Nothobranchius furzeri: one gene and its partners. The protein of the gene in region 2 purifies or fractionates together with the protein of the main gene of each other region. This does not show direct contact. Links are inferred from orthologs where the notes say so. Each region holds a gene or a part of one and is shown on either strand. Other genes may lie near its edges.

The links.
Region 1: the proteins of dkc1 (region 2) and ruvbl1 purify together in Homo sapiens (affinity purification with mass spectrometry; 4 studies listed by BioGRID and IntAct, counting the BioPlex papers as one, with this or other methods). This does not show direct contact. The link is inferred for Nothobranchius furzeri from reciprocal best matches to the Homo sapiens genes DKC1 and RUVBL1.
Region 3: the proteins of dkc1 (region 2) and H/ACA ribonucleoprotein complex non-core subunit NAF1 purify together in Homo sapiens (co-immunoprecipitation; 7 studies listed by BioGRID and IntAct, counting the BioPlex papers as one, with this or other methods). This does not show direct contact. The link is inferred for Nothobranchius furzeri from reciprocal best matches to the Homo sapiens genes DKC1 and NAF1.

The regions. Positions count from the first base shown.
Region 1 is NC_091743.1:48,433,259-48,436,598, forward strand, and holds part of ruvbl1 (ruvB-like 1), read left to right. Parts: intron 1-680; coding exon 681-767; intron 768-1,446; coding exon 1,447-1,579; intron 1,580-2,285; coding exon 2,286-2,437; intron 2,438-2,717; coding exon 2,718-2,807; intron 2,808-3,340. UniProt on the Homo sapiens protein: Possesses single-stranded DNA-stimulated ATPase and ATP-dependent DNA helicase (3' to 5') activity; hexamerization is thought to be critical for ATP hydrolysis and adjacent subunits in the ring-like structure contribute to the ATPase activity.
Region 2 is NC_091758.1:16,263,572-16,267,769, reverse strand, and holds the start of dkc1 (H/ACA ribonucleoprotein complex subunit DKC1), read left to right. Parts: upstream 1-1,335; 5' UTR 1,336-1,414; coding exon 1,415-1,430; intron 1,431-2,347; coding exon 2,348-2,397; intron 2,398-2,476; coding exon 2,477-2,563; intron 2,564-4,124; exon of another isoform or gene 4,125-4,198. Other genes in the region: cinp (cyclin-dependent kinase 2-interacting protein), read right to left, coding at 678-705.
Region 3 is NC_091747.1:73,496,086-73,499,306, forward strand, and holds the end of H/ACA ribonucleoprotein complex non-core subunit NAF1, read left to right. Parts: intron 1-328; coding exon 329-413; intron 414-2,151; coding exon 2,152-2,537; 3' UTR 2,538-2,682; downstream 2,683-3,221. UniProt on the Homo sapiens protein: RNA-binding protein required for the maturation of box H/ACA snoRNPs complex and ribosome biogenesis.

The DNA of each region.
Region 1 (3,340 bases), on a different chromosome or scaffold from region 2:
CATAATTGTAGATGATTATAAAATTGAACAACAGATCGGTCATTTCACCAAATGCACTCAAGTCAACTTTCTACTGGTGTGATTTGTTCCAAAACATGGTTTGAGGGGAAAAAGACTTTAATTAAAAATGGTTTTATATTTATATTCTGCACACTGATGTCTGAATAATTCCTCGTTTCAAAGACAAATTCTCAATCGTTTACAGAGAAAACACATGCAGCTTTAGGACGCTCCATCATTCCTCTTGATGTTCAGCAATATAAACAAACAACTGTCATTTTAGAAATACATGTAATAAATTACACAACTTTTTTTTTGTCCCTGGTAAAAAGTTTGTGAATATCACCAAAAGATATTTAGCTTGTTTTAACATTTACCACCTTATTCTTGTGGGTTTTCAGCAAAGCTGACTTTAATGATCACCAGATTACTTAAATTTTGTTTGTTTCCCATTTCATATCTGCTTTTTAAATGTGATTGTATTTGTTTTATACACACCCTTACACAGCTCTGGATAAACATCGTAGTGACACTCTCTCACTCTCTCTCTCTCTCTCTCTCTCTCTCTCTCTCTCTCTCTCTCTCTCTCTCTCTCTCTCTCTCTCTCTCTCTCTCTCTCTCTCTCTCTCTCTCTCTCTCTCTCTCTCTCTCTCTCTCTCTCTCTCTCTCTCTCTCTCCAGGCTTGTGGCATCATTGTTGAGATGATTCGCTCCAAAAAGATGGCAGGAAGGGCGGTTTTACTGGCAGGCCCACCCGGAACAGGAAAGGTTAGTGTGCAGCGTTTTAAAGTAGAGGTTGACCGATATTGGCTTTTCTATTGCCAATAGGTAAATGTCACAGTTAGCCGATGGCTGATTTGTGCTGCCGATATTTTGGACCGACTTTCATAGCCGATATCTAGACGTTTTCCACCTCATGTTTTTGCTAAATGTTACAAAAACAACAGCTGATGCACAAAACACTGAGTTTAACCAGCTGTTAAATCTTAATTTTGTGCACTGCTCGGTGTTCAAATCAGACATCTTACTAAAATAATCTAACAAATTAGTAAACTGACCAAGTCTTAAATATTAAAAACTGGTAGATTAGAAATCCTAGTTGAAAATATTTTTTGAGCATTTATTAGGAGATGTAATTCAGCAATCATGTAAACAAACAGTTAAATAAAATTGTGCAGCAGCACCAGGCTGCCCGGGGATGTGCCTGACTTTAACTCGGCTTTACTAAGGAGGTGTAACAGCCATCAGTGTGAATGTGTGTGTGAAGTGAATGGATGATTGATGCAAGTGCGGGTCATTTATCATTTATAAAAAAAATTGTAAATATCGTCCTGATAAATCGGTCTAACCGTAGTTTAAACAGTTTAGAGTTACCGTCTGAAACTGCACCAAGCATGGCTTTTGTTGTTATTGTTATTATGGTTATTGTGACTTCTGACCCCTGCAGACTGCCCTCGCTCTTGCTGTGGCTCAGGAGTTGGGAAACAAAGTGCCTTTCTGCCCCATGGTGGGCAGTGAGGTCTACTCCACTGAGATTAAAAAGACAGAAGTACTGATGGAGAATTTCAGGAGAGCAATCGGTGAGTGGAATCGGATTTATGAACTTAGTTATGCAGTTCATGGAGGAAATGATCAGACTTTTCGGACTTTTTCAGTATTGGGTTGAACTTCTGTTTTGATTTGAAGCAAAGGCAACTAGCTAAACATTAGCTGTGCTTGAGGTCAGAAACAAAGTTTCCTTGCAGCTTTAAGGAACTGAGTGAAAATGAAAAGAGAATGACTTGTTCTGTTGTGTTGCAAGGTGGCAGGTAGTGTCCAATTCATAGGGAGGGATTTATGTGGGAGACATGATGAAGGGAAGGGATTTGTCTGACTGCTGATAGTACCTGTCGAGTGGAGAGGAAATGGAGCTTAACTAGAAGCAGAGGTGGTCATCAGCACCCTTGCTCCACCCGTACAACAGCATCTGCAGCTTTTCATCACCTTGTCACTAACGGCTCTGCTGCACGGTCTGCTTTAAAAACCGCCCTCTGACCCTCAGCACAGAGGAGCAGGCACCTGTGCTGCTTACACGCCACTCTGTGTGGGAGTGTGATCATGTTACACTGAGTGATGCACTGGCATCACACACACACACACACGCACGCACGTTCTTTCCTGTAATAAAATCCATTATTTGGTCGTCTGAAAGATGTGAAGGCTTAGCCGATGCAGGAGCATAAAGACCTGATTGAATTCTCATTTTGAAGCGTGTCTGGGTCCGACTGTACCGCCGCTCTCCTTTAGGGCTGCGCATCAAAGAAACAAAGGAGGTGTATGAAGGCGAGGTGACGGAGCTGACTCCCTGTGAGACGGAGAATCCCATGGGCGGCTACGGGAAAACCATCAGTCACGTCATCATCGGGTTGAAGACGGCCAAAGGCACAAAGCAGCTGAAGGTCAGACTGGGGGTTCAAATCTGCATCTGTAGTTCTTTCATCACCGAGAGTCAAATAACCTGTTGCTGCTGACAGTTTTGTGTACAAACAGTGAGATGATGATTAGTAATGTAGATAAAGATGACTTAGAAGTGGTTTCCAGGTTTCTGGGTTAAAGATGAAAAATCCGTTTTCATTAGGCTGCATACTTGAGTTCTGTTATTACATTCTTATAGAAGTCCGATTTAATCAGTTTTGAACAAAATCATTAAATGTTGATGATGCTTTTGTGTTTGTTCAGCTGGATCCCAGCATTTATGAGAGTCTTCAGAAAGAGCGGGTGGAGGTGGGAGACGTCATCTACATCGAAGCTAACAGTGGAGCTGTTAAGGTAAATGGCATAACCATGGAAAACCGGTGCACTAAAACACACACACACACACACACACATACACACGTGCTAGTGACAAACTGGGTCACATCAACACATTAATGATTTATTTTTCTTTTTGATCATCTGCATTTTATTATAATTATTAGGTAAAAATTGTAAATGGCCTTTATTTAAATAGCACCTTCTATAGTTCTACAACCGCCCCGAGGTGCACAACAACACAATCAGCCATTCATCCATTCACACACACTTTCACACGCTGGTGATGAGCTATAATGTAGCCACAGCTGCCCTGAGGCACGTAAATCCTGTGTCTAGAAGGTTTTCTGCTTCAGAGTATAAATCTAGATCTTTATTACAGAAACATTTATGTCGGTAAAGTTTACTCATCTGATTCTAAGCAAATGTTTCACCAAAACACTGTAATCTCACATTGAGGACTTCCTCCTTAAAGTAACACCAGGCAGTTTCCTGCTCCCTCGCTCTACTGGTTGAAAAGTCATAAACAACCCTGCTGCAGCTAGCGCTAA
Region 2 (4,198 bases):
TCAGAAGGAAGAATCAGACAAACAATGCATCCAGGACTGTTGAAGCCTTTCTGATCCCACCATGAGGGGTTGAAGACCCAGGAGGATTCCTGGTGACAGAAAAACCCAAAAGAACAGACTAGAGATCACCAAAAACCACACTGACGAGCTTCAGGGAGAGCATCATTTTGATTGATGAGATGGAAATCGGCTCTAGAAACACTGTAGAAGATGGAGGAAGATCAGTTCTGTTCTGGACTCACTGCACCTGGACCAAGGATTCCTGAAAAGGTTCAGGGTCCAATCCCAGGACCACCAAGACCCTCTGGAGCCAAATCTACTGTCCAGAGTCTATCATCAGAAAACACAGCTAGGAACACCGAGAATGGATCAGAACCAAGCACTGGACTGTTCTGAACTGATCTAGATGCTGTTGAACATCTGTGATAAGAGCAGAAACATCTGGAGAAAGAACACCTGGAGCAGTGTGGCCACGAGTAATGGGACAGAATACCTGCGGACAGGAACGATCTAAATAAGTTGTCCTAGTGAATGTTGATGAGGCAGCTGGGTTCTGCAGGGTTTCATTTACAACCCTGCAGTAAAACATCCACACGTCATCAGAATGTTTTAACCCGGAAGCTGCAGGTTATTCAGACCTGAACAAAAACTACTTCACTAATCAAGAAGATCCTCACCTTCCATCTGATCCTGAAGTTCTCGCATAAAATCCAGCTGAATTATGCTGAGTCTTCTTCTTCTTCGACGTTTGTGGGTGGTAGCAGTGCAGCATTACTGCCCCCACCTGGCCTGGAGTGGACACACGTTTATCAAACAATAAAAAAGGAAGTATTTTTATTGGATCTGCAGCTGTGGACACTCAAATTCCACTACGCGGAGATAGTGGGATTTTGGGGTTAACTGTAAACACTGATCCGTCCCGTCTGCCGTCCGGGTGGACACTGAGGTATTTATGTTCCTCCGCCACCTCCACCTTCTCTCCCAGGATGGAACAAGCATTTAGCATGTTCCCGTTTCTTCTAAAATCCGCAGTCATCTCATGTTTTTTCCGTTTTTTAACACACTATTGCACTAGAGGCCCACCAGTGATCTGTGTCTCACTACTTAATGACAGACTTATCTGACTCCAAATATCACTGGCCTTTTTTAGTGTTTATTTCCCCCCAGGATGCTAGTTAATTAAAGAAGAGCATTAGAACCACCGAAAGAAAAGTCAGAATTATTTTTCACATTTATTTTTTTCCATTTTATATTTAATTATGTAAAAATTGTATTTAAATAGCAAATTCATTTATTTATTTACCTCATTTGGTTTCATTTCTGCTCTGTGACCAGTTGGTGGCGGTAGTGCACCAAGTACTTTCGTGCCAGCCGCCATAAAACATCAAGCAGAAGAAGAATCTTTCATTAGAAGATGGCGGACGAAGCTGGTGAGTGTCGAGCACGTTTTGTAAGCGACAGTCTGTGTTTAATTTATTGCTAAGTTTGAACATAATTCTGCTGAGTCAGGGATTTTATTAACAACACGTCCACGTGCACGTACAAGCGTGTTTTACGCAGAAGGAATCGCAGTAAAAAAAATTCCTAAGTTGGTCTATGAGGAGGTTTGGCAGCGTCTGAGCCAGTTAAAACAAACAAATCCCTCCACGTGTCCAACATGCTTTAGTAGTTGGGTTTAATTCAATAACAGAACTAAGGGTTTGCTCTGTGGACTCGTGTTTTCTTCATAAGCTCCAGCAGCGTTTAGTGTAGTTAACTTTGAGAGAGCGGGTTCTCGGTCAGTGGCCTGTTAGCTCCGCTAGCAGCCACGTGCGCTCCACCACGTGCTGCAGCTGCAGGCCACGTGGGCTCTATATCATTCATTTACAGTTTTCCAAATTTACCAAACTGCAACAGGGATTTAAATTTCTGTTCCTTCAGATAAAATACTTTCTTTCGGTCGTACTTTTTCCACTGAAAGGCCCTTTTGGGCTCAGAGTTGCACTGGAGCAGGGCCCATCTCCAGGGCCACCATGCTGCACGTGCTGCAGGTTTGCTGCTCCTGCACACATGAAGGTAATCGCCTGGATAAACCTGTTGAACACTCTTTTAAAAAGCAGGTGTAGTATGGTCCCTGGAGTTAGTGACCTTTAACCTGAGGTTACCTGGGACCAGTAACCTGTTATAATGCAATGTTCAGTTCCCGGTGGGCATGAAGACTCGTCTAGAATATTGGTGAACACTTGAGCAGTCTGGCTAGTGACAAAACACCACTTAGGGCCCGGTAGATTGTTGTTCTCTGAGAAAATCCTGGAATTCTGATTTTAGGAAGGATTTATGCTACTTTAGTTTGGTTTTTATTTTGCAGCATCCACAAAGAAGAAGAAGAAGTCGAAGAGAGTGGCTGAAGATGTTGGGGTTGGTGTGAATTTATTCAACTTAAGATCTATTTGGAGATTCTCTTCCTGTTGAACAAACTGATGTTTTTATTCAACAGGAGATCCAAGAGAGTCAAGAGTTTTTAATCCAGCCAGACACCAAAGTCCCCACTTTGGACTCCTCCCAGTGGCCCTTGTTATTAAAGGTCAGGAACCCCTCCTCCTGTTTGTGCCTGCTGACATGTTTGACCCTGGTCATGTGATATGATGAACTGGTTTATCCATTCTCTGAGTGCTGTGGGCCTGTTGTGGTCTTTGCTTCTGCTCCGTTCTGGATCAGAGCTTCTCCTGCGGCTGCTAGAGGGGTCTCGGCGTTCTGCCTGACCACGACCAGTAGCCGTCTGGGGAATGACCCCACTTGACCACAGCCAAGACGACCTCCTATTCTGATCACATTGACTCTGTGCTATAAAGCATTTGTTATCTGCTCTGTTTAGTGACATGTTTGTGGTTTCATCTGGTGTAATGAGTTGACTCGACTAGAACCCTGTTGGAATCGGCTCTAGCTGTCAGACAAGCGTTTCCCCTGGGAATTTTTCCGGTGGTGGTGCTGGGGGGAGAATGATTGACAAGTCTCACCTTTATGTTAATATTAAAAACCCTTCTACACCCCTGCTTAGTAGACTTAATGAAGTATTTTTAAGCCAGTATAAAAATGACTGAAACAAAAATTTACATATTTGGCATTATTGACCCATATCTTTGATTTAATTTGTGTTAAGAACATCAAGATGCATTACAGTGAACATTATAATAAAGTAAATTTTTCTAGTGCAGAGAGGAGACAACCCATAGAAGCACTGATTTGATCTCATTTCAGAGAAAAATAGAACAGGTTAGATGCACCTAATAAATAAAATTACTAACAAACTCAGGAATCTGTTTCTTTGCTTCATTGTTCTGGTGCTGAAAATATCACTAATGCGGATCAAAGGAGATACACAGATGAATGCACCTCTTATTTATTATTTGTAAATTAGTGGGTGTGGTTTACATCAATGCATTATTTTAAATCTGAAATTGGATTGATCAGAAGTTGATATGTGTATTGTTTATCTGAAAACTATTTACAGAGCAGCCTCAGAACTGAGATTAAATATTTTTGATCACAATAGTAAAGAAACCATTACAGAACAAGTTTTTCAGTAAAATCAGAACATTAATGTTTAAGTGCATGAATAAATGCATCTGAACTCATGCAGTAGGAACTAGGAAATATGAAATACTAGAATTTATTTTAATTTGATTAAACTGATTTTTTCCTCACATTGTTGGCATTTTTCCCACACACGGTTAAACAAAACTATGTTGACTGAGGTGTGTGTGTGTGAGTGAGAGAGTTAAAATAAATACATTAAAAAAAAAACCTGAGCGGAGGCAGTGACCGACGCATGCACAAGCCGTTTTCAGCTCTGTCTTGTCTAGAGCTGAAACAACTAATCGATTATAATCGATTATTAAAATAGTTAACAACCTTTTTAGTCATCGATTAGTTGTTTAATAATCATATTTTACCGCATAAAGTCTATTTTTTACCACAATCTGACATCGGTTACAAGCTGTTAAATTTGCCGCCAGTGTGTGGCAGTAATGAGCCACTGATCTACCAGTGGAGCCGTAGAAGAAGAAATGAGCCAATGAGTGCCCTCGGTTTTCATGACGTATCACGTTACTGACGCTCATCTTGCTGTGAGAGATGGCGGAACAAGAGGAAATACGGAAGAAAATAGAAGCGACAAAACTTTAGAGAAACCCCGGACAAAAACCTCACGAGTATGGGA
Region 3 (3,221 bases), on a different chromosome or scaffold from region 2:
TCGTTTTTAGCCATTTTGTCAGACATGTTGGGTATTCTAAAGCACCTTGTACACATATTTCCATTACTTAAGAGTTTTCTTTTATTAAAGCTGTTCAGTCAGTCAGGGTCCCATCAATTACTTTCTATTAAAAACGGGATTATTCTAATTATTCTCTACTAACAAGATTAGACAGAATAAAGATGAACAAAGTGGAAATCTGTACAGACCACATTTTAGTTTGGTCAGTTTTATTTTCTTGTTTGTTTTTGTGCTTTTTAATCCAAAAACAGTCTATAAAACACACACACACTGCTGGGTGATAATCGGTCTGTTCTCTTCCCTCCAGGCTTTAGACTACAGTGACGATGAGAAAGAGCAGGAAGCAAAGAGGAAAATTAAAAATGCCAAAAGAAAGGAAAATGGCCACACAGGTAGGTCCAATGGTCACCTGGTCATGATGTCATCACTCAGGCATTACATTCGCATCAGAAAACCAAACCGTTTCCATGACTAGACTGACTTTTAAAAATGCACGTAAATGCGTTAGTCTTGCTGAAGACACGCTGGTTCTTAAAGTAGGGACTCGACTTCATCTGCATGTACACAGCTCAGTTGAGCTGATACTGGTTACTTCTGGATGTGACGAGACCGCAGGAGCGCTCTTCTGATAATATCGTCGCCACAAAATAACACGTGTAACACCGTCAAACCGGACAGTACGTACCAAATGAGCTGTGTTCATTCCGTCTGCCGTTCTGCATATCCTGTTTTAACTTCTGCTTCGTTCTGCCAGCGTTTGTTTACCATTTGTGTTGCTTAAAGCTAACCGGAAGTAATCCGACACAAAAGCATGTCGCCACCTACTGCACCGGAGTGGAACAAACTTCGTTTGAGAGTTTGGTTTTCTAACGTACGTGTAAACTAGGATAAAGACTCCCAGGTTATGAGTTTTAGACTCTGACCTAGATCCACTTAGATGTGCATGTAAACGCACTGACTTACAAAACAAACAAGCAGACAGGACCAGGTCTGCTGTTACCTGAAGGTTCTGGAATGTTTGCAGCTTCAAGAGCAAGTCACCCCCTACCAGATTCTTACTCAACTCCCACTTCCTGTTTGAAAAATGCAACAAATGATGTTGCCTAGCAGACCGAGAGGGCGGAGCCGCTAACAAACACACACACACAGGCTCACAACGACATTGTGACATCATATGGTACCAGCTAACATTCTAAGGTACCCCTTAGCCAATAGCGATAGCAGATTTAAATTCAAATGCAGTGCAGAGTTTTTACCCGACAACGGCACAGCACTGACAAGTTTTAGGCAGAGAATTTTAATTTTAACTAAAATGCATTAAAGTGCATTTAGACATGCATTTATATAGTTTATCAGAAAAAAATAAGTTGATTTGGGGTGACTTGCTCTTCCAGGATTAAAGCTAATTTCCATTCTGTTACTTCCATGTCGTTAGCCCTTTTTAGAAGATGCGCATGCCGGCAAATCAGCATTGTGTGTCTTATGAATGCGGCGTTAAGGAGTCTTTCTGCATTAGTGCCGCTGTGCTTGGTAGTAACATTACTGCAACGCCAGACTTGTGAGTGCATATTACGCCTTGGTGCAACAGAAGGAGGTGTCATGATCACGTGTGGAGTTACTGCCGAGCTTTGGCTGGCAACTATGTTGAAAATGAAAGTAAAAACTGGCCGTACGTTTTGCTTTTGTTAAGAAAACCAACTGAAACCATAAACTGGAGTGATGCAGAGCTCCAGGAGCCTCTCTCCATTAGAGATGGAGCTCAGATCACCAGAGACTACCCAGGGACTGTGGGGGACAGACACCTTTGGGAGCAGCTTGTCAAAAAACCCAAAGAGCACGGCTTTGATGGCAATAAAAAACAAGTAATGTCCAAGATAACCAGAAGTCCACTGCAGCGCAGAGACTGCCCCCATGTCCCCTTTATACCGCCATCGCCACAGACTGACCACTTATAAATGACCTACGGCTCCCTGATGCCACCGCGGCATATTGGCGGCGCAGTTTTCTAAAAGAGGCTTTCGTTAATGTGTGAGTCAGCTTGAGGCCTGGCAGAGTCCACACCGGCACTCCGGCCAGCTTGACTCTGGGTCAGACCAGCAGAAACTAAACCAGCTGTTTTTCTCCTTTCAGATAAATCTGCTCAGATTACCCAGAGGTCTTTGCAGCAGCAGAGACATCATAGAACACGGGGTTTCCCACCGCGACACGCAGGATCCCGAGTCAAGCAGCAGGACCCCAGAAACACCCCCCCTCAACATCCCCACTCTTTCCTTCCTTCTGCTCATCCCGATGTACTTCCTGTGTACCTCCCCCCTTCCTGCCAGTACCCTCCTCCTCTTTTCTCCCCACCTAGCTTCCCCTTCTACCCCCCTACTCCTCCTCCTCCTCCTTCCTTCTTCAATCCAGCATTCTCCTCCTCTGTTTGGCCTCCAAACTCTGTCCCCTTCTGCGACTTCTCCCTCCCTCCTCCTCCTCCCCCTCCCCCTCCCCCTCCTCCCCCATCACCTCCTCACTGACACACCACTGTCCCTTGGAGGAGAAACAAATGGCCTCTACCCTGAGCTGCAGCTCCTCCTCAGTCAGAGATGTTGACTAAGTCTGAGCCCGGGTCATTTGGACTAAGAACTAAAACCATCTGCTTGTTTTGCGTTTGTTGGCTCAGTTTCATCTCAGTGACCCAACAACAACAACAATGATGGGAGTTTGATGGACCTTTACCTGCGAGAGGTTCTTTCCGTCTGAGGTGATAAGTGTTGAACCACATTCCTGCTTCCTGTGTGTGTGTGCATGGATAACCTGGATTATTAATGTAAGCTGGTGTTTTTCATGTGCTGTTTAGACCTTTTGTTCTGACTGGTGTACATTTATTCACTGCGTTTCAGAACCATGGTCTTCCTCCTGGACATGTTTGTGTCATAATCTGCACATGATGAATAAACAACAAGTGAACAAGTTTGCTGTGTGTCTTTGCTGAGATCCACATGTGATGCTACTGCTGCCTGAGTGTAAACAAAAACGTGTTTTCGTTTAACTGGAGACTAAATTGTGCTGCTGTGTGATGGGTGGCAGGGACATTGGCATTTTGATCCTCAGCTTCAGAAGCTGACCCTTGGTATGTGGAACGTCACCTTGAGAGGTTCTGGCTAAATATAGTCTGACTCACCTTGAGGCATGGCTCTGGCTCCAGAACCAGTTACTTT